Anolis sagrei: one gene and its partners. The main gene of each other region encodes a partner of the protein of the gene in region 4 in a complex. Links are inferred from orthologs where the notes say so. Each region holds a gene or a part of one and is shown on either strand. Other genes may lie near its edges. The genes, in order: UPF2, RBM8A, CASC3 and UPF3B.

What was found.
Region 1: the proteins of UPF3B (region 4) and UPF2 are in contact, whole or in part, in a crystal structure (PDB 7NWU), measured with the Homo sapiens proteins. The link is inferred for Anolis sagrei from reciprocal best matches to the Homo sapiens genes UPF3B and UPF2. Residues at the interface, in NP_542199.1 of Homo sapiens: Lys52, Arg56, Arg57, Tyr79, Glu81, Phe83, Asn85, Asp86, Thr87, Ser88, Leu89, Tyr90, His92, Tyr94, Arg96, Tyr98, Ile130, Glu132, Pro135, Phe136, Lys138, Ala139, Ala140, Arg147, Asp148, Lys150, Val151, Gly152, Thr153, Ile154; in NP_056357.1 of Homo sapiens: Lys767, Arg768, Pro769, Pro770, Leu771, Glu773, Tyr774, Lys777, Lys790, Arg793, Gln794, Arg796, Lys797, Leu798, Pro799, Trp800, Gln801, Cys811, Ile814, Asn815, Trp817, Tyr837, Gln838, Glu839, Asp840, Ile843, His844, Val846, Asp847, Gly848.
Region 2: UPF3B (region 4) and RBM8A share a complex: the UniProt entries of both Homo sapiens proteins name them as parts of the mRNA splicing-dependent exon junction complex. The link is inferred for Anolis sagrei from reciprocal best matches to the Homo sapiens genes UPF3B and RBM8A.
Region 3: UPF3B (region 4) and CASC3 share a complex: the UniProt entries of both Homo sapiens proteins name them as parts of the mRNA splicing-dependent exon junction complex. The link is inferred for Anolis sagrei from reciprocal best matches to the Homo sapiens genes UPF3B and CASC3.

What each region holds. Positions count from the first base shown.
Region 1 is NC_090025.1:90,733,966-90,741,020, forward strand, and holds the start of UPF2 (regulator of nonsense transcripts 2), read left to right. Parts: upstream 1-4,040; 5' UTR 4,041-4,136; intron 4,137-7,055. UniProt on the Homo sapiens protein: Involved in nonsense-mediated decay (NMD) of mRNAs containing premature stop codons by associating with the nuclear exon junction complex (EJC).
Region 2 is NC_090032.1:21,384,515-21,391,954, reverse strand, and holds the start of RBM8A (RNA-binding protein 8A), read left to right. Parts: upstream 1-4,420; 5' UTR 4,421-4,512; coding exon 4,513-4,579; intron 4,580-5,967; coding exon 5,968-6,027; intron 6,028-7,440.
Region 3 is NC_090026.1:40,429,092-40,435,960, reverse strand, and holds the start of CASC3 (protein CASC3), read left to right. Parts: upstream 1-3,855; 5' UTR 3,856-3,967; coding exon 3,968-4,234; intron 4,235-6,869. UniProt on the Homo sapiens protein: Required for pre-mRNA splicing as component of the spliceosome. Core component of the splicing-dependent multiprotein exon junction complex (EJC) deposited at splice junctions on mRNAs.
Region 4 is NC_090030.1:3,214,484-3,222,301, forward strand, and holds the start of UPF3B (regulator of nonsense transcripts 3B), read right to left. Parts: upstream 3,006-7,818; 5' UTR 2,991-3,005; coding exon 2,715-2,990; intron 737-2,714; coding exon 630-736; intron 477-629; coding exon 370-476; intron 1-369. Other genes in the region: NDUFA1 (NADH dehydrogenase [ubiquinone] 1 alpha subcomplex subunit 1), read left to right, coding at 3,914-4,015, 6,234-6,323. UniProt on the Homo sapiens protein: Involved in nonsense-mediated decay (NMD) of mRNAs containing premature stop codons by associating with the nuclear exon junction complex (EJC) and serving as link between the EJC core and NMD machinery.

The DNA of each region.
Region 1 (7,055 bases), on a different chromosome or scaffold from region 4:
CCAAATTGGCTCGGCGCCCTTGCAACGTGGGTAGGCATGCTCCAACCGGACTCTCAGGGCGCAGTGATCCGACCATGGAACCTCTATTGTGGAGGCTTGGGTCACTTGAATTCCTGCGCTGAAAATCAAATCTAGCGTGTGTCCCGCCCGGTGCGTGGGCCCAGTACTACAAAGCGAGAGTCCTAGTGTCTCCATGGTAGACACTAGGTCCACAGCCGCTAATGAACAAGAGTTTGCATCAGCGTGGACATTGAAATCCCTCAAAACGATAAGTCTGGGGAACCTCAAGGACCACTCTGACACAGTCTCAAGCAGCTGGGATAGGCTGTCTTTTCACACAACAATTACTCAATTACATCTGCCCCAAGTGTAAACAGATCACTCACATGGAACAGAGGATCCAACAACTTGAGGACCGTATTAAGACCCTTAAGGACATTCAGGAACTTGAGCTGTTCTTAGACACCACACACCACACTGTCCTAGACACGCAGCCCATAGCACACCAACATTATGGGGAAGCTCAAGAGGAGATCACCTCAGATGTGGACAACCCTCAAGCTTGGAGGCATGTCACCCTTAGAAAGAAACATAGGACCCGGAAGACTCCTCAGAATACCTCTGCCCAACTGCAGTTACATAATAGATTCCAAATTCTCACACAACTATCACTTGACCAAGAAACACAACATATTGGGGAAGACCAGAATGGCTTAGATACTGATCAGTGGCTGGTCCTTGATCAGTGTGCGAGGGATAGCCCTGACTGGGACAACACTTCACAACATTCACACTTACACAATCGTGCAGGTGTACCATCCCCAGCCATAGACCAGGTGCAACAGGAACACATACAGGAGAACGATAGGTTCTTGGATGAATCTCAATGGATTGTCCTTGACGAATGCACCGGGGATGTTGAGGAGGAGAACAACACTTTACACCTACACAATTCACATCAACAGGATCACTTTTCTGGGGACCTACACACTACATTGCACAAAAGGGACCCTGTCAATCCTGAAAGTAAACAGGTCTTGGTAGTGGGCGACTCCCTCCTTAGAGGAATGGAAGCCGTCATTTCCAGACCAGATGGGATGGCTCGAGAAATATGCTGCCTACTGGGGGCAAAAATACACCATAATCACTCCGAGGCTCACCAGGCTCCTCAAGCCCCATCACCGTCCTCCCCTCATGTAGGAACCAATGATACTGCTAGGCATACTTTTCAAAAGATCATAAATGATTTTCAAGCTCTCGGAACAAAGCTCAAACAATGTAATGTACAGGTGGTCTTTTCATCCCTCCTCCCACACACTCATATAATCCAGTTCAAAACAGATGTGTCTTATCTGATTTGATAATCTGGATTATATGGCAGTGTAGAAGGGGTTCCAATTCAAGACAGATGTGAATTATCTGATTGGATAATCTGGATTATATGGCAGCGTATCAAGAGCCTCAGAATGCAGATGCTTTGAACTGGATTATCTGAGGGGACTTCCACACAGCTGTATAAAATCCACAACTGAACTGAAAATAAATAAATAAATGATCTGCTTTGAACTGGGTTATATGGCAGTGTGGACTCAGATAACCCAGTTCAAAGCAAATATTCTGGGTTATATGTGGAAGGGCTCACATAGAGGTCCCTTTGACCCTTCTCTGTGGTGGCTCCTCGGCTGTGGAACTCCTTGCCTAGGGATATTAGATCAGCCCCCTCCCTCCTGACCTTTCGTAAGAGAGTGAAAACCTGGCTCTTCGAGCAGGCATTCGGAACCCCGGAATAGTCAAGATTGAGATGGAGAATGACCCAGGAACGGCCAAGACGATGAAACGGATGAGGATTGGATTGAGAGGATATAGCTCTTTTTAAATTGTTATTGCACTGCCTTTTTTGTCTAAATGCACTTAATTGTTTTTGCTTTTGTATTGTATTGATGGCATCGAATTGTGCCGATATGTAGACCGCCCTGAGTGGCCTGCGGGCTGATATGGGCGGGATATAAGTGATGTAAATAAAATAAATAATAATTAATTATCTGGCAGTGTGGGCTCAGATAACCTAGGGATAACACACAGCCATATATCCTTCTTCTTGGGCGATCCCTCGTTGGACGAGTAGGATGGTCTTTCATGATCAGTATTCTTGTGGATCCGTAGGTGGCTGTGGAGCCCTATTCTTGATCTGCATCTTCTCCCGCAGTGAGGGCATTGGTTTCCAGGTGGAAGGCGGTCTCGGTCGGGGTTGGCTTGACGCACCTTCCTCCTGGCACGTTTATCTCTTTCACCCTCCATTAGTGCCTCTGTTTGTTTTTATTTTCTTTGGAAGATGCCTGTGCTTGAGTTTTTTTAAAATGTGTGTAGGTCAGTGCACAACTGATCAACACACAGTCTTCACAGAGTGAGGTTCCACTGGTGGTGTAGTTTAACACAATGACCGTGGCCTCTCAATCTGTTGCAGCCTTCTTCCGCCTTCACAGTTGTTGTAACATGTACCATGTTATCCTCTGCCATTGAGGTCTTTGGGTCTTCGGACACAGCTATATAACCCAGAATATCAAGGTAGATAATCCACAGTATTGATTTAGGATTGTCTGCGCACCCTCATCTTTCTTTGAAAACCCTATCCTAGCTTATACCCTACCTTGTTCATGCCCAGCATTATTTTTTAAATTTTAAATTATTACATTTAGCCCGGCCATAGGTTTTTAAATGCTTGTATGTTATTGTTTATTTTTTGTTTTGTCATTGTATTTCACCAGGATGTTGTAGTCACCCGGCAGGACTGGAAGATAGGACACGGTACAAGTGCCATCCTGGTTATCAGTGCAGCCAATATCAGCCTTAGAGGGGCCTTCAATGGCCAGAGAGAGGTCACCTTCTCCTGCATCTTTTGTATTGACAGTGAAGACTCAGGCTTGTTGACTACTCCATGGATAAGACCTGGCCCATAGGCAGTCACATGGCCACTGTTGACATAGCTGACATAGAATTGAAGGGGACTGCCTGGGATGTGCATATTGTTATAGCGGATGTCCATCTCATGTAAGCCAGCTTCTGTGGGTGCATAGCGCACCGTCATGGTGCCATCCTTGTTCTCTGTGGTGTCTGGCTTTGCTACCTTGCCAGATGGCATCCGCACCTCACCTGTTAGCTCTCCTTTCTTGATGGTAAAAGGGATAATCAAGTCGAAAGGCCGGAGTCCAGCATCCAGTCCATTGATGGGATGGTCTGCTGCCGTGACCTGGAAAGGACTGTTGCGGATATTTTTGTTTATGAGATTTATTTTACCGTTTTGTATTGATTATTTTTGTTATTGCCTTCGTTTTATTGATGTACTGCGGGCTTGGCCTCATGTAAGCTGCACCAAGTCCCTTGGGGAGATGGTAGTGAGGTACAAATAAAGTATTATTATTATTATTATCTGCTTTGAACTGGGTTATCTAAGTCCATACTGCCATGTATTGCAGTTCACAGTAGATATGTGCGATTTTATACAGCTGTGTGGCAGGGCCCCCAGTTCAAAGCAGATATGATGGATTATCTGCCTCGATATTCTGGGTTATATGGCTGTGTGGAAGGGCCCTGAGCCTTCACTGCCATCTAATCCAGCTCATCTATGAGCTGGATTATATGGCATTACAGAGATCCAGCCTCAGAGTTCTCCTGACCGCAAATTCGATTTGAATTGTTTTGAAAAGCCAAAGGCGTTGGGCGAGGAGAGGGAGGGGCGGAGGAGCGAGCGCCACTCAGCCACTTCCGCCTCCCCTGGTAACCAAAGCACGGGGTTGCCCTGCTCTCTCCCGCTCTCAGGACCCTACCTGAACGGAAGCTGTCCAGAGCACTGCCTGATTCGCTGCCGCCCTCCCCATTCCCGTTTCCTTCCAGACGCGGGGTTTCAGTTCCACTTCGTCGAAAGCGGATTATGCAGGTGTATTTCTATTCCTCGCGTTGAGTCCGAGGAGAGGGAGCTGGCGAGCGGCGAGGGGGCGCTTCCGAGCAGGCGCGGCGTGGCCACCCTGGGGGGCGGGGTCCTCGTCCTGTGGCGAGTGGGAGGGAGGAGGGTGTCAGAAGAGAGAAACTGGCGGAGCTGGAGCTGCAGAAGCTGGGACCGATGTGGACCGCGGGCTGAGGTAACGAATCCCGGCCGGGCCGCTCTGGGCGGCGTGGAGCCACGGGGGAAGCGAGGCCTCCTGGTGCGGGGAGAGCGGGGAGGCCCGACGGCGCGGAAGGAGGAGCGGGAGGGCGGGAGGCCTAGTGACGCCCCCTCCCAGAGCCAGCCCTCGTTCGCGCTGCTTTCGCCCCCCTTTCTCACGTCAAACTCAATCACACCCCTTTGACAGGGCGCTGGGAAGAGTTCTGGACTTGTTTGGGGTGTTTTCAACGAGCCATTCCGCTCCTGTTTCACCCCGCGCGTTGCTAAGGCCGTTGGGAGTCACTGCATCTGCACTGGGGAACGAATGCAGTTTGACACACATTTGAACAGCTATGGCTCGAGACTAGGGAAGCCTGGGAGTTGTTATTAGTATTAGCCGAGGCCCCATCCACACCTGTATAAAATCCCACATTTCTGCTTAGAACGGGAATATACGGCAGTATGGACTCAGGGTCCTTCCACACGGCGTAATAATAATAATAATAATAATAATAATAATAATACACTTTATTTATAACCCGCTACCATCTCCCCAAAGGGGACTCGGTGCGGCTAACATAAGGCCAAGCTCAAAATAATACAACATAATAAACACATAGTAACAAAATACATAGTAACAAAATATAAAATAACAAAATCAACAATATAAAACAGCATATTAAAACCAGACACGGAGGGCGAGCCAAATGTATGAGGTAAAATGTTAAAAAGTTAAAACCCTGGGTGAGATAGGGATAAAAGTGCATTTGTAGGAAAGGAGCCGAATAGGGAGGAACCATGGGATTTAGCCATTGGGGGGATTTTGGCAATAGAGGGTGGGATGCTTTATTCTGAGGGCAGCTGTAGACTAAGACAACCAGATGGGTTGAATGGTCGTTCTCCAAAAGCACAACGGAAGAGCCAGGTTTTTTGGTCTTTCTTAAAACCAGCTAGGGTGGGGGGTTGTCTGATCTCCTTAGGCAGCAAATTCCAAAAGCGGGGGGCCACAGCAGAAAAGGCCCTCTCCCTTGTTCCCATAAGACGAGTCTGTGATAGAGGAAGGGGCGAGAAAAGGGCCTCTTCAGCGGATTGAAGAGATCGTGCAGGTTTGTGATAGGAGATTTGGTCACATAGGTAGTTGGGTCCCAAACCATTCAGGGCTTTGTAGGTAATAACCTGCACCTTGAATTGGGACCAGAAAATGAACGGCAGCCAGTGGACCTCCTTAAACAGGAGCTCCATTGGCTATATTATTGTTGTTGTTGTTGTTGTTGTTGTTGTTGTTGTTATTTCATATATTTATATCCCGCTCTTCTCCCCACAAGGGAGCATGAACTCACATGAGCATCAGAGGACGCTAACAGCATAAATACCATAAAAATTACAATCTTCTATATAAATAAAACTGTAATGTTCGTTTGTGGGATTAACAGATCTCAAAAACCACCGGACGAATTGACACCAAATTTGGACACAAGACACCTAACAACCCAATGTATGTCCTTCACTAAAAAAAAAATGATTTTGTCATTTGGGAGTTGTAGTTGCTGGGATTTATAGTTCACCTACAATCAAAGAGCATTGTGAAGCCCACCAATGATGGAATTGAACCAAACTTGGCACACAGTTCTCCCATGACCAACAGAAAATACTGGAAGGGTTTGGTGGGCAGTGCCCTTTGGTTTTGGAGTTGTAGTTCACCTATATCCAGAGATCACTGTGGACTCAAACAATGATGGATCTGGACCAAACTCTACACAAAGACTCAATATGTCCAAATGTGAACACTGGTGGAGTTTGGGGAAAATAGAATCTTGAAGTTTGGGAGTTGTCGTTGCTGGGATTTATAGTTCACCTATAATCACAGGGCATTCTGAACCCCACCAACGATAGAATTGGGCCAAACCTCCCACACAGAACCCCCATGTGGACCACAGCAGTGCGTGGCAGGAGACAGCTAGTTCACAATAAAACCATTTTAAAACATTATACAACATCATCAGTAAAATTTAACAATAAATTAATAGATTAACATGCCAATAAAACCAAGCCGAGCTGGGAGAATCCATATCGCAAAATCCAAATTTCCTTTTCCTATTGTCGCTGGCCTCTAATCGAGCGCCTGACCCCAGAGCCAGGTCTTCAGTTGTCTTATAAAGGACAGGAGGGAGGTAGCCAACCTGATATCCTTAGAGAGTTCCACAGACCGGGGGGGGGGGGGGGCACTGCCGAGAAGGCCCTATCTCTTGTCCCCACCAACCGCGTTTGCGAGAGTGATGGGATCGAGAGCAGGGCCTCTCCTGATGATCTTAAGCTTCATGATGGTTCATAGCAGGAGATACGTCCGGAGAGGTAATCTGGGCCAGAACCGTTCAGGACTTTAAAGGTTAAAACCAGTACTTTGAATTGTGCCCGGAAGCTAATCGGCAGCCAGTGGAGCTGGCGAAACAGAGGAGTGATATCCCAGAATATCCATTTTGAACTGGGTTATCTGAGTCCACATTCAGATAATGTGGGATTTTCTGCCTTGATATTCTGGGATACAGGGCTGTGTGGTAGGACCCTGAGTCCACACTGCCATATATTCTAGATCAAAGCAGATAATGTGTAAATATCAAGGCAGATAATCCTCTGGGTTGTTGTAGGTTTTTTCGGGCTGTATGGCCATGTTCTAGAGGCATTCTCTCCTGATGTTTCACCTCCCTCTATGGCAAGTATCCTCAAAGGTTGTGAGGTCTGTTGGAACTAGGAAAATTAGATTTATATATCTGTGAAATGTCCAGGGTGGGACAAAGAACTCTTGTCAGTTGGAGCTAGGTGTGAATGTTTCAACTGACCACTTTGATTGGCATTTGATGGCCTGACAATTTTTAGATGTGTCTTATTAGTGACTGGGGAAATCCTTTGTTGAGGGGTG
Region 2 (7,440 bases), on a different chromosome or scaffold from region 4:
CATTCTCCCCTTGAGAGTATATATAGCCAGTAGGAGGGGCTATTACCTCGGATCCACTTCAGCCATTGTTGCAATGACTTTTCCCATTTGTTCAAATTTGGACTTGCAAAGATTTCAGTCGTTGTTGCAATACTTTCTTCCGTCAAAGCTGAATTTACAAAGTTGTTGTTGTAACGCCTTTCCCCATTATTCAAACCTGGACTTGCAAAGATTTTTGCAATACTTTCTTCCGTCAAATTTGGACTTGCAAAGATTTCAGTCGTTGTTGCAATGAGTTTTCCTCATCGTGGTCCCTGTGAATCGCACATATAGTATCGCCTGCGCAGACAGTTCGGAATCTTCTAGAAAACTTACTAGACACTTTTAGGTGGTAGCCCCGCCCACTCTCCCCTTGACGAGTATATATATCCAGTGGGAGGGGCTAGGTACAGTATTAAGTGGAAGTGTAGCATTGCCAGGAAAAAAACCTTGTTTTTGGTTTCTTGCTATGGATATAATGCCTAATTTTTAGGAATCTCGTGCATAAACCGTATGGAAGGGAAGTGTTATATTCTTCAATGGATAGGATCCATAATTGTAGGGAAAGTCACATAGTGAAGATAGGCTCTGCGTTACAACCCCAGAAGCACAAATTCGAATTCATTTGGTTGGAAATTTCCTAAAATTTCCGATTTGTTTACATTCAGAAAGGGATTTTCGTACGAAAAATTTCCGAGATCTAATGGAACGTAGTCTCTTCCCAAAATTGAGGGGCGAAAACACTTTTGGCCCCTGCGATTCGTGTCCCGGAAATAAGTCTTGTACCTTTTATATATATATATATATTAAAGTATATGTATCTATTTTTATATAGCACTTTGTTTACACTGCAGTATTGATGTTTATAAACGCATTTACTACAAAACGGCCCTCGAAGGGTTGCCTCCGGTTTTGTTCTCACGATGTTCTGTACTGGTTTTTGTAATTTTTTAAAAGTACAATAAAAGTAGCGTATCCTGCGTGGCTCGTTCTTTTCTTCATACGCTTTCCCCTTCGCTCTTTCCATCCTTTCTTTCCCTCTTCCGTTGCTTTGCTTCATATGCCGTTAGTCCTCTTCGTTTCTCGTTCTTCTCACTCCGTCCCTCTTTCCCTTCTTTTCCTTTCTTTCCTTCCCTCCTCTTGTGCCTTTCCGTCTTTCATTTCTCTTCCTTCCTTTTTCTTTCTTTCCTCAGTTATTTCCCTTTTCTTCTTCTCCTCCCCTCATATCTTTCCCTTCTTTTTCATCTTTTCCTCCTTTTTCTCTCCCTTCTTTTTCTTTCGTTCTGCCCTCCCCTTGTACCTTCCTCCTTTCCTTTCTCTTCATTCCCTCCTTTTTTCTCTCTCCCTTTCCTCCCTTTTTTCTCCCTTCCCTTCTTTTTCTTTCTTCCCTCCCCTTGTACCTTCTCCCTTTCCTTTCTCTTCATTCCCTCCTTTTTTCTCTCTCCCTTTCCTCCCTTCCCTTCTTTTTCTTTCTTCCCTCCCTTTGTACCTTCCCCCTTTCCTTTCTCATTCCCTCCTTTTTTCTTCCTCCCTCCCTTTCCTCCCCTTTTTCTTTCTTCCCTTCCTTTACTTCCCTTCTTTTTCTTTCTTTCTTTCCTCCCCTTCTACCTTCCCTCTTTCTTTTCTCTTCATTCCCTCCTTTTTTCTTTCTTCCCTTCCTTTACTTCCCTTTTTTTTCTTCCCTTCCCTTGTACCTCCCCCCTTCCCTTTCTCTTAATTCCCTCCTTTTTTCTTTCTTCCCTTCCTTTACTTCCCTTTTTTTTCTTTCTTTCTGTCTTCCCCTTGTACCTCTCCCTTTCCTTTCTCTTCATTCCCTTCTTTTTTCTTCCTCCCTCCCTTTCCTCCCTTTTTTCTTACATCCTTTCCTTTACTTCCCTTCTTTTTCTTTCTTCCCTTCCTCCCCTTCTACCTTCCCGCTTTCTTTTCTCTTCATTCCCTCCTTTTTTTCTTTCTTCCCTTCCTTTACTTCCCTTTTTTTTCTTTCTTTCTGTCTTCCCCTTGTACCTCTCCCTTTCCTTTCTCTTCATTCCCTTCTTTTTTCTTCCTCCCTCCCTTTCCTCCCTTTTTTCTTACGTCCTTTCCTTTACTTCCCTTCTTTTTCTTTCTTCCCTTCCTCCCCATCTACCTTCCCGCTTTCTTTTCTCTTCATTCCCTCCTTTTTTTCTTTCTTCCTTTCCTTTACTTCCCTTTTTCTTTCTTTCTTCCCTCCCCTTGTACCTCCCCCTTCCCTTTCTCTTCATTCCCTTTTTTCTCCCTCCCCTTTCTCTTCCTTCCCTTCCCTTCCTTTTTCTTCCTTCCTTCCCTTGTACCGTACCCTTTTCCTTTCTCTTAATTCCCTCCCTTTTTCCTTCCTTTCCTTCCCTTCTTTTCTTTCTTTCTTTCCACCCCTTATACCTTCCCCCTTTCCTTTCTCTTCGTTCCCTCTTTTTTTCTTTCTCCCTCCATTTTCTCCTTTTTTTCCCTTCTCTTCCTTTACTTTCCTTCTTTTTCTTTCTTTCTTCCCTCCCCTTATGGCAGAACCAATTAGGATCTACCATTTATTATGAAATTTTGAAACTTTTGTTAGAGTTCTGAAATTTTCACCACCACAACTTTACCAACACTGTAAAAGCAAAGCACCAGCGCCCCCTAGTTTTCACTACCAGAACTTTAGTTTTGTAAGTACTTTAGAACCATAGATTGCACATGCCTAGTGTGTATGTGTACACACACACACACTCCACTTGCTACCTCTATGCAAATACCCTTTCTGACTGACTTTGCAAATTTCACGGCTGCTCAAGGCTATTCAAGCTTTCTCATCCACACTTGCTTCACACAGACGAGGGTTCTTTCTCCCACCCTGGACTTCATTCCACGGGGATATATACACTCCACTTCCCTCACTACTTCTGTGCAGATACCCTCACTGATATCTATTCAGCACTACCCACACTTGCTTACTGCAACATCCACACTTGCTTTAAACAGACACGGGTTCTTTCTCCCACCCTGGGCATGATTAACAACACTACCCATTCAGTGCTAAGGCTCCACGCCAAAATGGAACTGTAGAGGAGAGTCTACTGAACGAGCCAGTACCTGCCACATACATTGCTTAAGTCGCATTGACCGACCGTCTGTGCAGGGTTCCATACTTTGCACTTTAACAACACAACCGTTCAATGCTAAGGCTTCCCACCAAAATGGAACTGTAGAGGAGAGTCTACCGAACAAGCCAGTACCTGCAGCATACATTGCTTAAGTCGTATTGACCGACTGTCTGCGCAGGGCTCCATACTTCACGCTTTAACAACACAACCGTCCAATGCTAAGGTTTCCTGCTAAAATGGAACTGTAGAGGAGAGTCTACTGAACAAGCCAGTACCTGCCACATACGTTGCTTAAGTCACATTGATCGACCGTCTGTGCAGGGTTCCATACTTTGCACTTTAACAACACAACCGTTCAATGCTAAGCCTTCCCGCCAAAATGGAACTAGAGAGGAGAGTCTACCGAACAAGCCAGTACCTGCAGCATACATTGCTTAAGTCGTATTGACCGACTGTCTGCGCAGGGCTCCATACTTCACGCTTTAACAACACAACCGTCCAATGCTAAGGTTTCCTGCTAAAATGGAACTGTAGAGGAGAGTCTACTGAACAAGCCAGTACCTGCCACATACGTTGCTTAAGTCACATTGATCGACCGTCTGTGCAGGGTTCCATACTTTGCACTTTAACAACACAACCGTTCAATGCTAAGCCTTCCCGCCAAAATGGAACTGTAAAGGAGAGTCTACTGAATGAGCCAGTACTTGTCGCATACATTGCTTAAGTCGCATTGACCGACTGTCTGCGCAGGGCTCCATACTTCACACTTTAACAACACAACTGTTCAATGTTAGGGCTTCCTGCCAAAATGGAACTGTAGCGGAGAGTCTACTGAATAAGCCAGTACCTGCCGCATACGTTGCTTACATCGCATTGACCAACTGTTTGCGCAGGGTTCCATACTTTGCACTTTAACAACACAACCGTTCAATGCTAAGGCTTCCTGCCCAAATGAAACTGTAGAGGAGAGTCTACTGAACGAGCCAGTACCTGCCGCATACATTGCTGTCCAGGGGGAGGTGGCCTACAGAAGGCTCAACGTTAAGAACGGAAACTACCAAGAGAGCGTTTCTCTTTCCACCTCCAGACCCTTCCCTTCTTTTAAGTCCAACCACGAAGGCTTTGCCTGCCAGGTGGGGTCCGGATCCACCCAGCCGTTTTTGAACCTTGTTGGGACAAACCAACAAATCCACGTCGACGACCTTCTCAAGATGGCGCCTGCGCGGGGGACGCCGCGTTTCTGCGCAGGCGCGACTGGGCGACCTCCTCTGGACGTCTCCGCCCCCTTCCTTTGGCGCTGAAGGGAGTGCGCATGCGCAGAGACGCTCCTTCTCTTGCTGTGTGGGAGTAGGCCGCGGAGCCTGTCGTGTCGTACTCTTCGGTGTTTCGGGCTCTCCTCGCGATGGCGGACGTCTTGGACCTCCACGAGGCCGGCGGAGAGGACTTCGCCATGGACGAGGACGGCGACGGTGAGTGAGCAGCCCAAGCCAGGCCCTGGCCTCACTAATTTAGGGCCCGCCTGAGGCCTAGTCGCCTCCGGTTGAGCGGAAGTGACGTCGAACTACATCCCCCAGAAGCTCTTGCCGGCCACGGCAACGGTGGAGCATTCTGGGAAATGGAGTCCAGTACTACTTTAGCGCCTATTGCGGCCTGTAGCGTGTAGATGGATGGACAAATAGATAAATAAATAGATATACACAATGCTCTCTTGCGTGTAGATCTCTTATCTGTATTTTATTATTAATTAAATTTAATAATATGTAATTTTATGTGTATCTATCTATTATTTATTATGTGTATTATTTATTATGTGTATCTGTATATATATATATATAATTTGGATCTTACATTTGGGTCTATATATTTTTATTATTTAATAATATCAATAATATAATAAATAAATATATTATTTGTATTTTATTATTAATTAAATTTAATATATAATTTTATGTGTGTCTATTTATATTATTATTATTTGATGCAATACATTATATAATATATTATAGTGTGTGTATATAATTTTGTGTCTATATCATTTAATATAATTTAATAATAATATTTAATAGTAATTCAATAAGTTTTATATGTGATATAATATATTATTTTGTCTGTGTATATATATATAATTTGGATTTTAAATGTGTGTCTATATAATTTATTATTATTATTTAATAATATAATAAATAAATAAGATTATTATATGCAATATATTATATTATTTTATGTGTGTTTGTGTGTGTGAATAATAAAATATTATTTCTATTTTATTAATTAAGTTTAATATATAATTTTATGTGTGTCTATCTATATTATTTATTATGTGTATCTATATTATTTTTATATGAAATATAATATATTATTTTGTGTGTGTATGTATATATATATGTATAATTTGGATCTTAAATTTGTGTCTATATAATTTTTTATTTAATAATAATATTAATAATATAATATTAAAATAAGATGATTATATGCAATATAATATATTATTTTGTGTGTGTATATATATATAATTTGGATCTTAAATTTACATCTATATAATTTATTAAGTTGTAATGTTTTGGATTGTGAACCGCTTTGATTCTTCGTATGGAGAGATCAAGCAGGATACAATAATAATAATAATAATAATAATAATAATAATAATGTGTATCCTAAATTGTAGAAGTGATCAGCCTTCATTGTATGTTTTTTCCCTCTCTCTCACACACACACACACACACATATATATATATCTTTGCGCTCCTCTGTCTTATCTATGTATATAAACTATGTTAACATACACCTACTGTGGTTGTTGTTGTTGTTTTGTGAATTTGACCGTTGTTTAATCAAACTCTATGTGGTCTCTCTGCAGAAAGCATCCACAAACTGAAGGAAAAAGCAAAGAAAAGGAAAGGCCGAGGCTTCGGATCAGGTAAGGCGACTCAACCTTATGATGATGGTGATGATGATGAAGATAATAATAATTCACCTTAATAGCAATCCTACAAAACTCATCCTGTTCGTACCTTGCCTATATTAAATAGTGTTGAGTTTGATCCATGCTGTGCCTTACTTTGGGGTGGGAAATATATACATCTATTATTATTATTATTATTTTCATATTAATATTAATATTATATTATTATTATTAAATTACATATTAAATTTAATTAATAATAAAATACAAATAATAATATTATATATATATATATATACACACACACACACAAACACACACAAAATAATATATTATATTGCATATAATATTTATTATATATTATTAACATTATTATTAAATAATAATAAATTAGACAGATTTAAGATCCAAATTATATATACACACACACAAAATAATATATATTGCATATAATAATCTTATTTTATTATTATATAATAATATATTGCATTAAATAATAATAAATAATATAGATACACATAAATAATATAGATAGACATGCATAAAATTACATATTAAATTTAATTAATAATAAAATACAAATTTTATATATATATATATATATACACACACACAAACACACATAAAATAATATATTGCATATAATAATCTTATTTATTTATTATATTATTAATAATATTATATTATTATTGTGGGAGAGAAGCCTCCCACAAGGATGATAAAAACATCCAATCATCTAGGTGGCGTCCCCTGGGCAATGTCCTTGCAGACGGCCAATTCTCTCACACCAGAAGCAACTTGCAGTTTCTCAAGTCGCTCCTGACATGACAAAAAATAATAATAATTACTATTATTATCATATTAGTTTATTATGTAACCTTAGCGGTTGTACGTTTTCGGTAGTGTGTTTTTGGCTGCTTTGGGTCTGTTTTTAAGAGAGAGCTTTAAAGTACATTCTAAAGTACGAAAACACTAGATGTTACGAAGAAGAAGCAAGTTTAAAATAATATAATAATAGTTTTGAAGCTGTATGTTTTATTTTTCACCAATGTAAGTCTCTAAGAGAAAAAGAGAGATATTATTCATAACTAGCCGTCCCCTGCCATGCGTTGCTGTGGCTCAGTCTGTGTATAAGTGTTTTGTGTGTGTATATATGTGTACATGTGTATATATGTGGTTTTGCGCACGCGTTGTAATGTATTTTTTAAGTCCCTTCCGCTGTGTTTTCCAGTGTTTTTGTGAGTGATAGTCACTCGTTGGCCTGATAAGTGGATTGTGACCAAATTTGGTGTCCATTCGTCCAGTGGTTTTTGAGTTATGCTAATCCCACAAACGAACATTACATTTTGATTTATACAGATAAGTAAAAAGCACCTAAGTAAAAAGCACTTTAAAGGAATAGGTAAATCCAATTAGGTAAGAAGATAA
Region 3 (6,869 bases), on a different chromosome or scaffold from region 4:
GTAACAGTAGACCTGTATTTTTTTAAATGTAGTATCAAAATATATACAATAGAGTGACTCATTCCCAGCAGCAGCTCTGGAAATAGTATTGTATGTCATGCTTTGCCTAAAAAAGGAAAATTTACTTTCTGCAGTAGAAACGATACAGCCAATCATAGGAACATTTAAATGGAACAGGTTGAACTTGCAAATGAGAATGCCATCATTGCGGTTTTGCACAAGGGCCCTGTGTCTTTGAGACATGGTGGTTTTTGAGTCTAGAAAAGGCAGCCAGGACCATTTAAATTTGTGGGGTTTTTTTTGGGGGGGGGGGCAGGAAGCAGTATCTGTCCTCCCTTTCAACATTATTATAGCTAAGTTGGTTTAACAAAGCATACATACTGATATTATCAAAAGCAAAACAATAAAAGGAAAATTACAAGACTGGAAAAACAAAAAAGCGAAAGTGCATGAATTGGTTTTAGGCATACTTTTTAAAGAGTATTCTAAAATTGCGAGACTGCATGTGGCAAGGACAAATTCCATGTTGCAGATGTTTAGAAAAAAATAGTGCTGAACCTTGTCATAAACATCTATAGTGTAACATCATATAGAATATAGAATAAATTCTGCTTGTTTCATCTTAAACCCACAACACATCTAGAGCAGTAAAAGGCAAAATGTGGTAGCTGAATGTGTTGATCTTAGAGAAAGTCTATGGGGGTTTTCAGCATAGAAAAGAAAGGGGCATGACAGACACCATAAAATGATGCATGTTGTGAAAAAAGTGGACAGGAATAACGATGTTAGATATGCAGCTCTTCAGTGAAGCTGCCCGGTGGCGCAGTGGGTTAAAGCCCTGTGCCAACAGGACTGAAGACCAACAGGTCGCAGGTTCGAATCCGGGGAGAGGCGGATGAGCTCCCTCTATCAGCTCCAGCTCCTCATGCAGGGACATGAGAGAAGCCTTCCACAAGGATGATAAAACATCAAATCATCTGGGCGTCACCTGGGTAACGTCCTTGCAGACGGCCAGTTCTCTCACTACAGGAGTGGTCGCTCCTGACACGACCAAAAAAAAAAAAAAGTGAAGCTGTATTGATTCAAAACAGACAAAGGTACCCGATTCCTACAACTATGGCGTTAAAAGCACTGCCCTTATTCTACAGGGGTTTATGAATAGTACCTAAAGATGTTGGGTGTATCTACACCAGGGGTCCTCAAACTAAGGCCCCGGGGGGGGGGGGGGGGCGGATACGGCCCTCCAAGGTCATTTACCCAGCCCTCGCTCAGGGTCAACCTAAGTCTGGAACGACTTGAAAGCACACAACAACAACAACTACAATCCCATCCCATCCCATCAACCAAAAGCAGGCCCATACTTCCCATTGAAATACTAATAAGTTTATATTTGTTAAAATTGTTCTTAATTTTAATTATTGTATTGTTTTTAAGTGTTTTTTGCACTACAAATAAGATATGTGCAGTGTGCATAGGAATTCATTCATGTTTTTTTCAAATTATAATCTGGCCCTCAAGCAGTTTGAGAGACTGTGACCTGGCCCTGTTTAAAAAGTGTGAGGACCCCTGATCTGCACTCTAGTATTATTGCAGTTTGACACCACTTTGACTGCCATGCTCAATGCTATGGAATCATTGGAGATGTAACTATGCAAGGACTTAAGCCTTCTCTGCCCAATAGTGCTGCTGATTTTCCAATCTACAGCTCCCAGGATTCTGTAGCAAACTATATTAATTCTGCAGTGTAGATGCACCTGTTGATGGGCCTCCCATGTCCTTTGGTAGCATGCATTTGCTGGGAAAAGAAACACTGTCCTTGTGTCCTGACTCTGGACTTTTTATTAGCATCTGTTTAGATAGTGGGTAAACATGATACTGGACTGGGCTAGTCTTTGATGTGATCCAGCCAAGCTCCTTTTTATGTTCTAACTTTTATGATTAGACTTGGTTCATGTTAACCCAGTTGATAGACTATTTCAAAATTATACTGTTTTTGCATATCATTTTCAGTGCCAGGTTTCTCTTCATTTTTTTTCTTTTCTACAAGTGGCAACCGGTTTTTCCTAGGTAATGAGATTGGGTAGATAATAGGAAGGCGAATGGTTGTTATGGTTAATGTTAGTTGAGCCTTATAACCTAAGTCACTTTAAATAAACAAAAATATTGTTCCAGCATGCAGTATAACTGGGTTTGTATTTTCCACCAGCTTCCTGGACCTAGCATGCCACTGCAGGCTCACCCGCTTTTGCATTACAGGTTGGCCATCCCTTATCTGAAATTCTTGGGAAAAGTGTTTTGGGTTTTGGAACACCATTACTTGCATAATGAGATATCTTGGAGATGGGCCGCAAAATTTATGTGTGCTATGGCAGGCCATGGGGCAACTTCGGCCCTCCGGGTGTTTTGGACTTCAACTCCCACAGGAATTGTGGGAGTTGAAGTCCAAAACACCCAGAGGGCCGAAGTTGCCCCATAGCCTGCCTTAATATGCATAGCTTGAAGGTACATTTATCCAATATTTTTAATAATATTGTGCATGAAACAAAGCTTGGGTACCTTTTGCCACCAGAAAGCAAAGGTGTCAGTGGGTGCATCTACCCCAGGCATGGGCAAACTTTGGATGTTAGGAATTGTGGGAGTTGAAGTCCAAAACACCTGGAGGGCCGAGGTTGGCCCATGCCTGCCTTAAATGCATATCTTGAAGATTAATGTATTCAATTGTGCATGAAACAAAGTTTGGGTACATTTTGCCACCAGAAAGCAAAGGTGTCCGTGGGTGCATCTACACCAGGCATGGGCAAATTTTGGCCGGCTGTTAGGAATTGTGGGAGTTGAAGTCCAAAGCACCTAGAGGGCCGAAGTTGGCCCATGCCTGCCTTAAATGCATAGCTTGAAGGTTAATGTATTCAATTGTGCATGAAACAAAGTGTGGGTACATTTTGCCACCAGAAAGCAAAGGTGTCAGTGGGTGCATCTACACCAGGCATGGGCAAACTTTGGCCGGCTGTTAGGAATTGTGGGAGTTGAAGTCCAAAACACATGGAGGGCCGAAGTTAGCCTATGCCTGCCTTACATGCATAGCTTGAAGGTTAATGTATTCAATTGTGCATGAAACAAAGTTTGTGTACATTTTGCCACCAGAAAGCAAAGGTGTCAGTGAGTGCATCTACACCAGGCATGGGCAAACTTTGGCCAGCTGTTAGGAACTGTGGGAGCTGAAGTCCAAAACACTTGGAGGGCCGAAGTTTGCCCAAGCCTGATCTACACTGTGAGATCAATGCAGTTTGACACCCATTAATGACTATGGCTCAGTGTCAAAGAGCTCTGCCAACCTCATCAAACTACAAATCCCACAATTCCACAGCACTGAGCCCTGGGAATTAAAGCGGTATGGGTCTGCATTGATTCTACAGTGTCCATGCAGCCTTGCTTGAATTATTTTGGCTTTCGGAATTCTGGCTAAGGGCTGTGTCCAACCTGTTTTTCTCCATGCGGCCGGTTTACCCTTTTCATTCCCTCCGAAGCCTGTGCAACGCCCTGCCTCTACGCTTTCAGTCCTGCAGGATAAACAACAATGACATCACCGTCGCAGTGGGAAAGCGTCGAGGCAGTAGGGGGGGGAAGAGGGGGAGGTGTCAATCTTCGAGAAGCACGTGACCCTGTTGCCGAGGCGTCCTTCGGCCCGCCCACTGAAGAGCAGTTTGCCGTGACGTCATTGCTCCACAGCGCCTCCATTGGCCGCTGTCTTCCTTTCCTCCCCTTTTGTCTTTAATCCTATTTTTTGTTCTTCGCAAAGAATTCTGGGGGGAAGGGGAGGCATCGAAACGTGTCTCGCGCGCGCGCGCTGCGTGTCGGAAGTTGGGAGCTGGTGGGCGCGCGCCTTGCTCGTTACCCGTCATCCCTTTGGGCTCCGCCCCCTCCTCTTCCTCTTCCCTAACCGTTTCGCTTCTTGTTTCTTCTCGTCAAGATGGCGGACCGGAGGAGGCAGCGCGCTTCCCAGGACAGCAGTGAGGAGGACGAGTCGGACTCGCCGCCTGGGAGCGCGGCCCCTTCGCCGAGGGGCGCCCTCCGCCTCGGACTCGCCGGCTCCGCGGCCAACGCTAGCAATGCAGGCGGTGGAGGCACCGCGGTTGTTGTTACTGCCGTCGCCGCCACTGCTGTTCCTACCTCCGCCGGTCCTGAAAACGTGGAGGCGGCTCTGACGGCGGGAGGAAGCCCGGCCGACTCGGAGTGTGTGAGTACCTGGGCGGAGGAGAGGGAAGGCTCCGTGAGGGACTGGGCCTTGCACTAGGCCGCAGTTTGAAGCGCTCTGAGGTTTCAAGCCTCCTCAGGCCTTGGGGCTCTTCCACACAGCCAGATAACCCAGAATAATTATAATCATAATAATTTTGCTTCTTACCCACTCTCCTCATGGCTCAAGGCGGGTTGCAAAACAATTAAAACATATAAGCACAGCAAAACACTACAAATACACATACCACCATAAAAGTTACATACCAAAACATATCGCTGTGAAATATATATGGAAACAGACAAAACAAATTAAACAAAGGGCATGCATTAAAATTCAGGTTTATGTTTAAAGACTAGATAATAATAATAAGGTTTTTATTTATACCCACCCTAACTGTCCGAAGGGATTCAGGGCAGTTTTCATCAAAAGTGGCAAACATTTGATGCCATAATAAAACAAACAAATGAAATATATATGAAAACAGACAAAGGAAATTAAACAAAGGTCATGCATTAAAATTCAGGTTTAGGTTTAAAGACTAGGTAATAATAATGTTTTAGTAATAATAATGTAATAATCTGCTCTAGCTCCCCGAGAGGACTCCCATCAAAAGTGGCAAACATTTGATGCCATAATAAAACAAACAATAAATGAAATATATATGAAAACAGACAGAACAAATTAAACAAAGAGCATGCTTTAAAATTCAGGTTTATGTTTAAAGACTAGGTAATAGTAATAAGGTTTTATTTATACCCACCCTAGCTGTCCGAAGGGACTCAGGGCAGTGTTCATCAAAAGTGGCAAACATTTGATGCCATAATAAAACAAACAACAAATGAAATATATATGAAAACAGACAAAGCAAATTAAACAAATGGCATGCATTAAAATTCAGGTTTATGTTTAAAGACTAGGTAATAATAATAATAAGGTTTTATTTATAATAGTAGTAATAATAAAACTTTATACCCCGTCACCATCTCCCCAAGGGACTCGGAGCAGCTTACATGAGGCGAAGCCTAACAACACATCAAAAACAACAAGCAATAATAAAAACAACAAGCAATAAACAAAAAAACAATACAGTTAATATAACTCACAGGTAGACAATAACACATAAGAATTTAAAAATCTATGGCAGGGCCAGATGTAATAGTTAAAACTTTAAAAATAAATGCTGGACATGAACAGAGGATGTAACTAGTAGGGGAGTTTTAAACGAAAAGTAGAGAACAACCCAATGGGTAATTAAAGTGCTTCTCAGGGTACTTTGCAGGGGATTGTTTCCTTTATTCAGAGAAGGCACACTGGAACAGCCACGTTTTCAGGCTCCTCCTAAAGACTGCCAATGTGAGGGCTTGTCTGATATTCTTGGGGAGTGAGTTCTAGAGTGGGGGGGGGGGGGAAACCATGGAGAAGACCCTATCCCTCATCCCCAACAATCGCGCCTGCGAGGGAGTTGGGAGCGAGAGCAGGGTCTCCCCAGATGAACGAAGAGATCGTGTGGGTTTATACACAGAAATGCGGTCACCTGCCCTGGCTCCCTGAGGGGACTCAGGGAGGTTTCCATCAAAAGTGGCAAATATTCAATGCCACAATAAAACAAACAACAAATGAAATATATATGAAAACAGACAACAAATTAAAGGGCATGCATTAAAATTCAGGTTTATGTTTAAAGACTAGTTAGTAGTAGTAATAATAGTAATAATAATAATAATAATAATAATAATAATAATAAAGTTTTATTTATAACCTGCCCCAGCCCCTCGAGGGGCCTCAGGTTAGTTTCCATCAAAAGTGGCAAACATTCAGTGCCATAATAAAACAAAACAACAAATCAATCAACATAATAAATAAAACTTATGGCTAACCAATAATAACCAAAAAGTAAGAACTTAAATAAATGTAATACATCACATTTCACACATTTACCAGCAGCTAAAAGGCATTAAAATATTGGGTGGTTTACTGCAACCAACAGGGCTGAGGTAGCTTTCCAGTAGCTAAACGAGAGTACATAACTAAAATGTATTACTGATCCTTTCCATACGCTAAAGTGCATAAATAGGTTTTTAAGGAGCCCCCAGTGGCGCAGTGGGTTAAACCCGTGTATCAGTAGGACTGCTGACCAAAAGGTCAGCGGTTCGAATCCGGGGAGCTGAGTGAGCTTCCATCAGCTACAGCTTCTCAGATGGGGACATGAGAGAAGCCTCCCACAGTATGGTAAAACATCCTGGCGTCCCCTGGGCAACGTCCTTGCAGGCGGCCAATTCTCTCACACCAGAAGTGACTTGCACTTTCTCAAGTTGCTCCTGACATAAAAAGAAAAGAAGAAGCTTTGTAAAAGAGAGAATTTCTACTTCTTTGGGGAGGGATTTCCAGTGGTGGGGGGCGATCAAGGAGAAGGCCTTGTTTCTTGACCTGACCAACCATACTTGAGACGGGGGTAGGACCAAGAGCAGGCCTCCTCCATGGACCGCAATGCTTGTGGTGGTTTGTATATGGAGATGCAGTTTTTCAAATCATCTGGGCCCGAACCATTTAGGGCTTTATAGGTGATAACCAGCCCTTTATATTTCGCCAGGAATCAGACCTGCAGCCAGTGGAGCTGCTGTAGCATGGGAGTGGT
Region 4 (7,818 bases):
ATATCAAGCAAGTCTTGGTGTCCATTGTATGGGGCAGAAGTCATCCCCACTCTTCCTTATTTATTACATTTCCTAAAATCAGATGTTGCTACACCACACAATGGACCACACATTAATATGGATCCTTTGCTGTGAAGCTGGCTACATTTCCTCCCCACCCAAAGCCCTTTGCATGCGATCTCAGATGAGCAATGATCGGATTTTTCAAATTAAATTCTGGATGACACTGGCTCGGCACAGACCATGCAGGCAATTCTACCCCGTTTCTGGGCCTCTGGATTGACTGAATTATTTTCACCAATTTATGCCAATATATATTTGGACAAAACAGAGATATGATATACATAGCCAAGTTTCAGGCATACTTGCCTTTGTGATCAACAAAAACATAACCATCAAAGCGATCCCTGAACAGAACTATGTCTTCTTGGTTTTTAAAGTTGATGTATGCTCTGGAAAACATGTGAGGGTACAAACTGCAGAAGGACAGAAAATGGCAATGTATAAGGAAACGTCGCTGAGTGATGACTGTAAATATACCAAAACACAAGACGGGTGTAAAACTGAAAGACATAAATGACATGCCACCGTTACATGCAACACGGGCAGAGTTTGAAAGGCCCTCTCACCTGGTGTCATTAGCAAAGAACTCAAAGTAGTCGTGTTCCGGCAAAGGCTGGAGATGTTCTTCAAGCTGCTCCTTGGTTAGGCTGGGAGGGAGGCGGCGAATCACCACCTGCAAGAGGAAGTGTCGGTTTTTACAAACACCTTAATTTGTCAAATAAATTGTTCCAAACAACACTATGTAACACAATTGTCGTTCCTGGGTTGGGGCATTTCCTAACTGGTTCTCCCATAAAAACTGTTGGAATGTAAGCCCGAATTGAAAATCCATCTCTTCCGGTAGAAGGCCGACCCAGCCAACTTTCTATCATGAGGTTTGACTGACATTCCCTTGCTGCTTTATGTTGATTTTGAACCCTGTGTGCGGTGTACATTTTCATAATTATGTCTTTTTTCTCTTTATATTTTATTATATAAAAGTTATGTTCATAGGTTATTGACTTTGCTATACTCTGGGTAACAAAATATGTATTCTTATATTTATATTTTTATTATCATATTCTTAATATTATATTTCTAGTCTTATTATATTTTTGATTATAATGTTCTTACTATATTTTTATTCTTATTTTTTACTATATATCTATGGTTATTATATATTGACTGTATTCTTATATTTCTCTTATTACAGTATACATAAAACAAATTTATTATATTGAGTATGTTGAGTATGTTCTTATTCAATTTCTATTATTATTATAGTTTATTATTTATTAATTTACAACATTTATGTCACTCTTCTCACCTGAAGGGGACTCATTATAGATAAATCACATTTATTATAGGTTGATTATGATATATTCTTATATTTCTTTTCTTATTATAGTCTATATAAAACACATTATTATAGAATATTCTTATTCTATTTTACTCCTTACCATTCTTACTATAATTTTATTCTTATTATATTCTATATAAAACACATTTGTTATAGGTTAACTATATTCTTATTCTATTTCTCTTATGTTCTTATTCTATTATTACATATCTATTCTTACTATATTTCTGTTTTTATTGTATTCTGTATAAAACACAGTTATTATAGATTACCTACATTCCCATTCTATTTCTCTTCTTATCATTCTTATTCTATTATTATATTTCTGTTCTTATTATATTCTATATAAAATACATTTATTACAGATGAACTATATTCTTATTCTATTTCTCCTCTTTTCATTCTTATTCCATTACTACATATCTAGTCTTATCATATTTCTTTTCTTATTATATTCTATATAAAACACATTTGTTATAGGTTGACAATATTCTTATTTTATTTCTCTTCTTATTCTTATTCTATTTTTACATATCTATTATTATATTTCTATTCTTCTCATATTCTATATAAAACACATTCATGATAGCTTGAACATATTCTTATTCTATTTATCTTATCATTCTTATTCTATTACTACTTATCTGTTCTTATTATATTTCTGTTCCTATTACATTCTATATATACACATTTATTATAGCTTGAATATATTCTTATTCTATTTATCTTCTTATCATTCCTATTCTATTATTACATATCTATTCTTATTATAATATATATAAAACACATTTATTATAGCTTGAGCATATTCTTATTCTCTTATCATTCTTATTCTACTACTACTTATCTATTCTTATTATATTTCTATTCCTATTGTATTCTATATAAACACATTTATTATAGCTTGAGTATATTCTTATTCTATATCTCTTCTTATTCTATTATTATATTTCCATTCCTATTATATTCTACATAAATACATTTATAATAGCTTGAGTATATTCTTATTCTACATCTCTTCTTATCATTCTTATTCTATTATTATATTTCTATTCCTATTATATTCTACATAAATACATTTATTATAGGTTGAGGCAATTCTTAGTCTATTTCTTGTATCATTCCTATTCTGTTATTACATATCTATTCTTCTTATAATCTATAGAAAACACATTTGTTATAGGTTAATTCTATTTCTCTTCTTATCATTCTCATTCTATTACTGCATATCTATTCTTATTATATTTATATTCCTCTTACATCCTATATAAGACACATTTGTTATAGAATGACTATATTCTCCTCCCTTCACCTTGCTGAGGAGCTCCTTCTTGTCCCGGGGCCTGCTGTCGGGCTCCCCTCCGGCCTTGGCGTCCGCGCCCCCGCCCACCGCCAGGGCTCCCGCTCCGGAGGAGGAGGCGGCGCCGCCCCGCTTCTCTTTGGGCCTGGCGTTCTCCTTGCCTTCCTTCATCCTCAACGCCGCGCCAGCCAGAGCCAACAACAAGGCCCCGCTCGCCCGTCTTCCGCTCCGTCCCGCTCGCCCATTGGCCGCCGCTCCTCTCGCGAGAGCCTCTTCCCTCATCCCCATGGCAACAGAGCTGAGGAAGTGACGTCGCCGCGGAAGGCCGCAACGGTTTTTCCATCTCCATAGCAACAGCAGCGGCGGGGGAGGGGGAAGGGAGGGAGGAAAGCCTGCGCCTGCGCAGTTCCGCCCTGCCTTTTGGTAAGTCACAAAACCCTCCTCCCTCCGTCACAAGGAGGTGGAGAGAAAGTGGCGCCTGCGCAGTGCCGCACTCCCTCAGCCCCGCCTCCCTCTCACTCCCATTGGCCGCGAGAAATGTCTCTCTCCTCTATCCCCAGAGTGACAGCAGAGGAGGGAGGAAAGTTTGCGCTTGCGCAGTGCAGCCCTACCTCAGCTCCGCCTCCCGGTCACTCCCATTGGCCGCGAGAGATGTCTCTCTCTTCTATCCCCATACCGACAGTAGCAGAGCGAGGAAAGTTTGCGCCTGCGCAGTGCCGCTCTCCCTCAGCCCCGCCTCCCGCTCACTCCCATTGGCCGCGAAGGATGTCTATCTCCTCTATCCCCATAGCGACAGCAGAGGAGGGAGGAAAGTTTGCGCCTGCGTAGTGCCGCCCTCCCTCAGCTCCGCCTCCCGCTCACTCTCATTGGCCGCGAGAGATGTCTCTCTCTTCTATCCCCATACCCTCAGTAGCAGAGGGAGGAAAGTTTGCGCCTGCGCAATGCCACCCTCTCTCAGTCCCGCCTCCCGCTCCCTCCCATTGGCCGCGAGAGATGTCTCTCTCCTGTATCCCCATACCCACAGTAGCGGAGGGAGGAAAGTTTGCGCCTGAGCAGTGCCGCTCTCCCTCGGCCCCGCCTCCCGCTCACTCCCATTGGCCGCGAGAGACGTTTCTCTCCTGTATCCCCATAGCGACACCAGCGGAAGTGACGCCAGGACGGAAGAGAGGGAGAGAAGCTTTTTCTGCCCTTGCATTCCTGAGGAGAAGACGATGTGGTACGAGATCCTTCCCAGCCTGACGGTGATGTACGTCTGCCTGACCATCCCGGGCTTCTCCACCACCTTCATCCACAAGTACACCAACGGGGGCAAGGTCAGCCACACCGCCACGCTATCGCGCGTCTGTCCCGCTTGGGCCGCCCTGGAAACCTCCCGGGGAATTCTGGGACAGAATGGAGGGGAGGGAGGCAGGCAGGGAGGAGTCAGAGTAATAGAGAAATACATAATAATGAGGGATGTGAGTAAATACAGGATGGAGAATAGATATATGGAATAGGCATAAATACAAAATAATAATCATAATGCAGGATATGCATAAATACATCATAATGTAATTGTGGGGTATAAAGAAATACATAATAATAATATACATGCAATGTATTAGTACATAATATTATAATAATAATATATTAATATGTGATATTATATTAATATATAATAATATATTATAATAATAATATATTAGTACATAATGATTTAACGGTCATTTAAAAGTCCCTTGGCCACTGTACACGTACAGCTGTACCAGTTTCCTTTGCACTGAATGTTTGTTATAGTCATAAGTTTCAGGGACTCTGCAGATAGGTGGCTTCTTTTGGCTGCAATCATAGGGCAAGCCACCTGTCAATTATAGTTCGGTTCCCTGGTCGCGCCCCTTTTTGAGTTTTGGAGGGAATAGGAGCCTTTTTGGGTCAGTCCACACAGAGAAGCTTCCATGCAGGACATAATATCAAGAGCTCCTGTAGAAAGCTTCGTCTTCTACAGCTTGGCCGGGGAGATATACAGCCTACAGCTTGGCCGGGGAGAAAAGGCCCACAGCTTGGCTGAGGATTTTGCAAAGTTACAGCTCCTTTGCGGAGGGATTTCAGCCAGCCAACACAGCAACCTGAACTCCTTCTTTTCCCCTGGAAGTCTACAAAGCTCTGCTTGGTAAGGGTCGCTCGTGGAAGCCAGACGCAGTTGGTACCGGGTGCAGGGGCTCCACGCCAACAGAGGCAAAGACAGACTGCCCAGATTAGAAGTTAAGGATTTCCCCATTAGTTAGTATACAGTTATGAAGATAGTGCCTGTTCCCTATGGACAAGATTGAAAGAGCCTATAGACCGTTAAAAAAAGCTTTAAAGTACCTGTTTGTTTTAATCAATAAAGAACTTTGTTGGACTTACTTTAAGTCTCTACAGAACTTTGTTTTAAGGAAATCCAAGGGCCTTTAATCTGAGGCAGCCCCGGCATCCCGTTGGGCACTCAGAATTTATGTCCTGTCTACAGCCTTATGCACAGGCCCAGCGTGCGACAGCACAACCACATCATGAGAAGAAAGGAAAGCTTAGAGAAGATAATGATGCTGGGGGAAATGGAAGAAAAAAGGAAGAGGGGCCAACCAAGGGCAAGGCGGGTGGATGGTATCCTTGAATTCACGGGCTTAACTTTGAAGGAGCTGGGGGTGGTGACGGCCGACAGGGTGCTCTGGCATGGGATGGTCCATGAGGTCACAAAGAGTCTGAAGCAACTGAACAAATGAACAACAACAAAATTGTTGTGGGATATACATAAATACATCATAATTATAATGTAAATGTTAGATATAAATAAATACACAATATTCAGCCTTCAACCATAAATCTGTATAAATAAATATGTAATGTTCATTTGTGGGATTAATATATTTCAAGAACCACAGAAGGAATTGAGACCAAATTTGGACGCAAAACACCTATCAGGCCAACGTGACCATCACTCATAAAAACACTGGAAAACACAGCGGAAGGGACATAAAAGGCTCAAAAACAAAAAATACATTACAAGGCATGTGCAAAACCACATATATATAGGCAAGCACACATATACACAAATATATACACAGATATATACACACACAAAACACAGACTGAGCCACAGCAATGCATGGCTGGGGACAGCTAGTGCATAATAATGATAAATACGGGATATAAATAAATATAAATAAATACATAATAATTATCCTAATGTAAATGTTGGATATAAATAAATACACAATATTCAGGCTTCAACCATAAATACACAATAATTATAATATGGTGGATCTAAACTGTAGAATGAATACAAGTTTGATACCCTGTCTTGATATGATTCGAATTGTGGGGGTTGTCATTTTGCAAGGTCTTTAGCCTTCTCTCGTGCTTCTAACCCAAAGAAAAGGGCTGCATCTACCATCCTCTATTCCAGTTGTCTGGGGTTTTTTCCCCTTTTTATGTTGGATTATACGCTTATACATTTTATCCCTTTTCTCCTTGATTTTGACTTGTTTTTCCCAACCCTTTTGTGTGTCCCAGGAGAAGCGCATTGCCCGGAACACCTACCAATGGCACTTGATGGAAAGAGACAGGAGGGTTTCTGGAACCGACCGTTACTTCGAGTCCAAGGTAGATAATGAAAAGAAACATTAAAACGCCACATGTTTGCCTTGGTTGCAGAGAGGAGTTCTGTCTAAACTTCATAGTCTTCGTATTTAGTGACAGAGGGTTTTTAGCCTCTGTTTTTGAAAAAGAATGAATGCAATAAACAATACCTAGAGGAGCATTGAATAGTACAAAACAATCTAAAAACCTCTCTCTTCTAGCCAGTTTTAAGCATGAATTTGAAACTCTTGTCTCTGTTTTGTGTATTTTATAGAAATATATATTTATATATTTTATATAACTTGATTTTAATATGTGCGTTTAAAGAATGTTCGCAATGTTTGTGTGTTTTGACTGTGCTGTGACCCGCCTTGAGCCACTAGCCACAATAACAGTAATTATGATTATGAAATGTTATCAGATAAAATTCTCAGAACCTGATATTATTTCTAAGATAAAATTGTTGTTGTTGTTACTATTTATTTATTGTTTTAGAAATGAGCTGAGGGTACTCAACTCGTATTTAAAAACACAAAGTTTGCAACACTTGGCATTATGCTAAATGTCCTTTGACCAGTAGCTGACCACTTGGAATGCCTCTGGTGTTGCTATAAGAAGGTCCTCCATTGTGTATGTGGCAGGGCTCAAGCTGGATTGTAATAGGTGGTCAGTGGTTTGCTCTCCTCCACACTCGCATGTCGTGGACTTTGTGGCCCCATTTCTGAAGACTGGCTTTGTACCTCATTACTATTATATGTCATCAGATAATATTCTCAAATCCTGAGATTATTACTAAGATAAAATGATGGTGATGATTAAATGTTATTAGATAAAATTCTCATAGTCTGAGATTATTATTAAAATATTATTATTATTATTAAATGTCATCAGATGAAATTATCAGAGCCTGAGATTATTATTAAGATTATTGTTGTTGCTATTATGAAATGTTATCAGATAAAATTCTCAGAACCCTTTTTTTGTAAAACATTATTCTTAAGAGATTACCATTTTTACACTTTTCCATTTTGCTTTCCGTTCCGTTTCAATGATGGTTTTCCTCTTTTCGGAGCAGTCTGTCTGAAGGAGTAGCCTGATCAGATGAATGGGAAGCAGATAAAATCCTCTTATTTATTATTCATTTACGACATTTCTATGCTGCCCTTCTCACCCCGAAGGGGACTCAGAGTGGCTTACAAGATGTATATACATACAATATATTATATTATTATCATAGTACAATATCAGTATCATATATTATTATATTGTACTATACCATTATATTGTAATATTATCTGTAATATTATGTGTAATATAAAATATATTATTATTATAATATTGTAGTACATTATAATATAAATATTATAGGTATATACAAAATATTATATTATACCAGCTGTACCCACCACGCGTTGCTGTGGCCAACCTTCCCCGCCTTTTTCTCTCCTTCTTTCCCTCCTTCCTTTGCTCCTTCTTTCATTTATTTCTTCTGCTTTCTTCTTTCCTTCTCGCCTTCCTT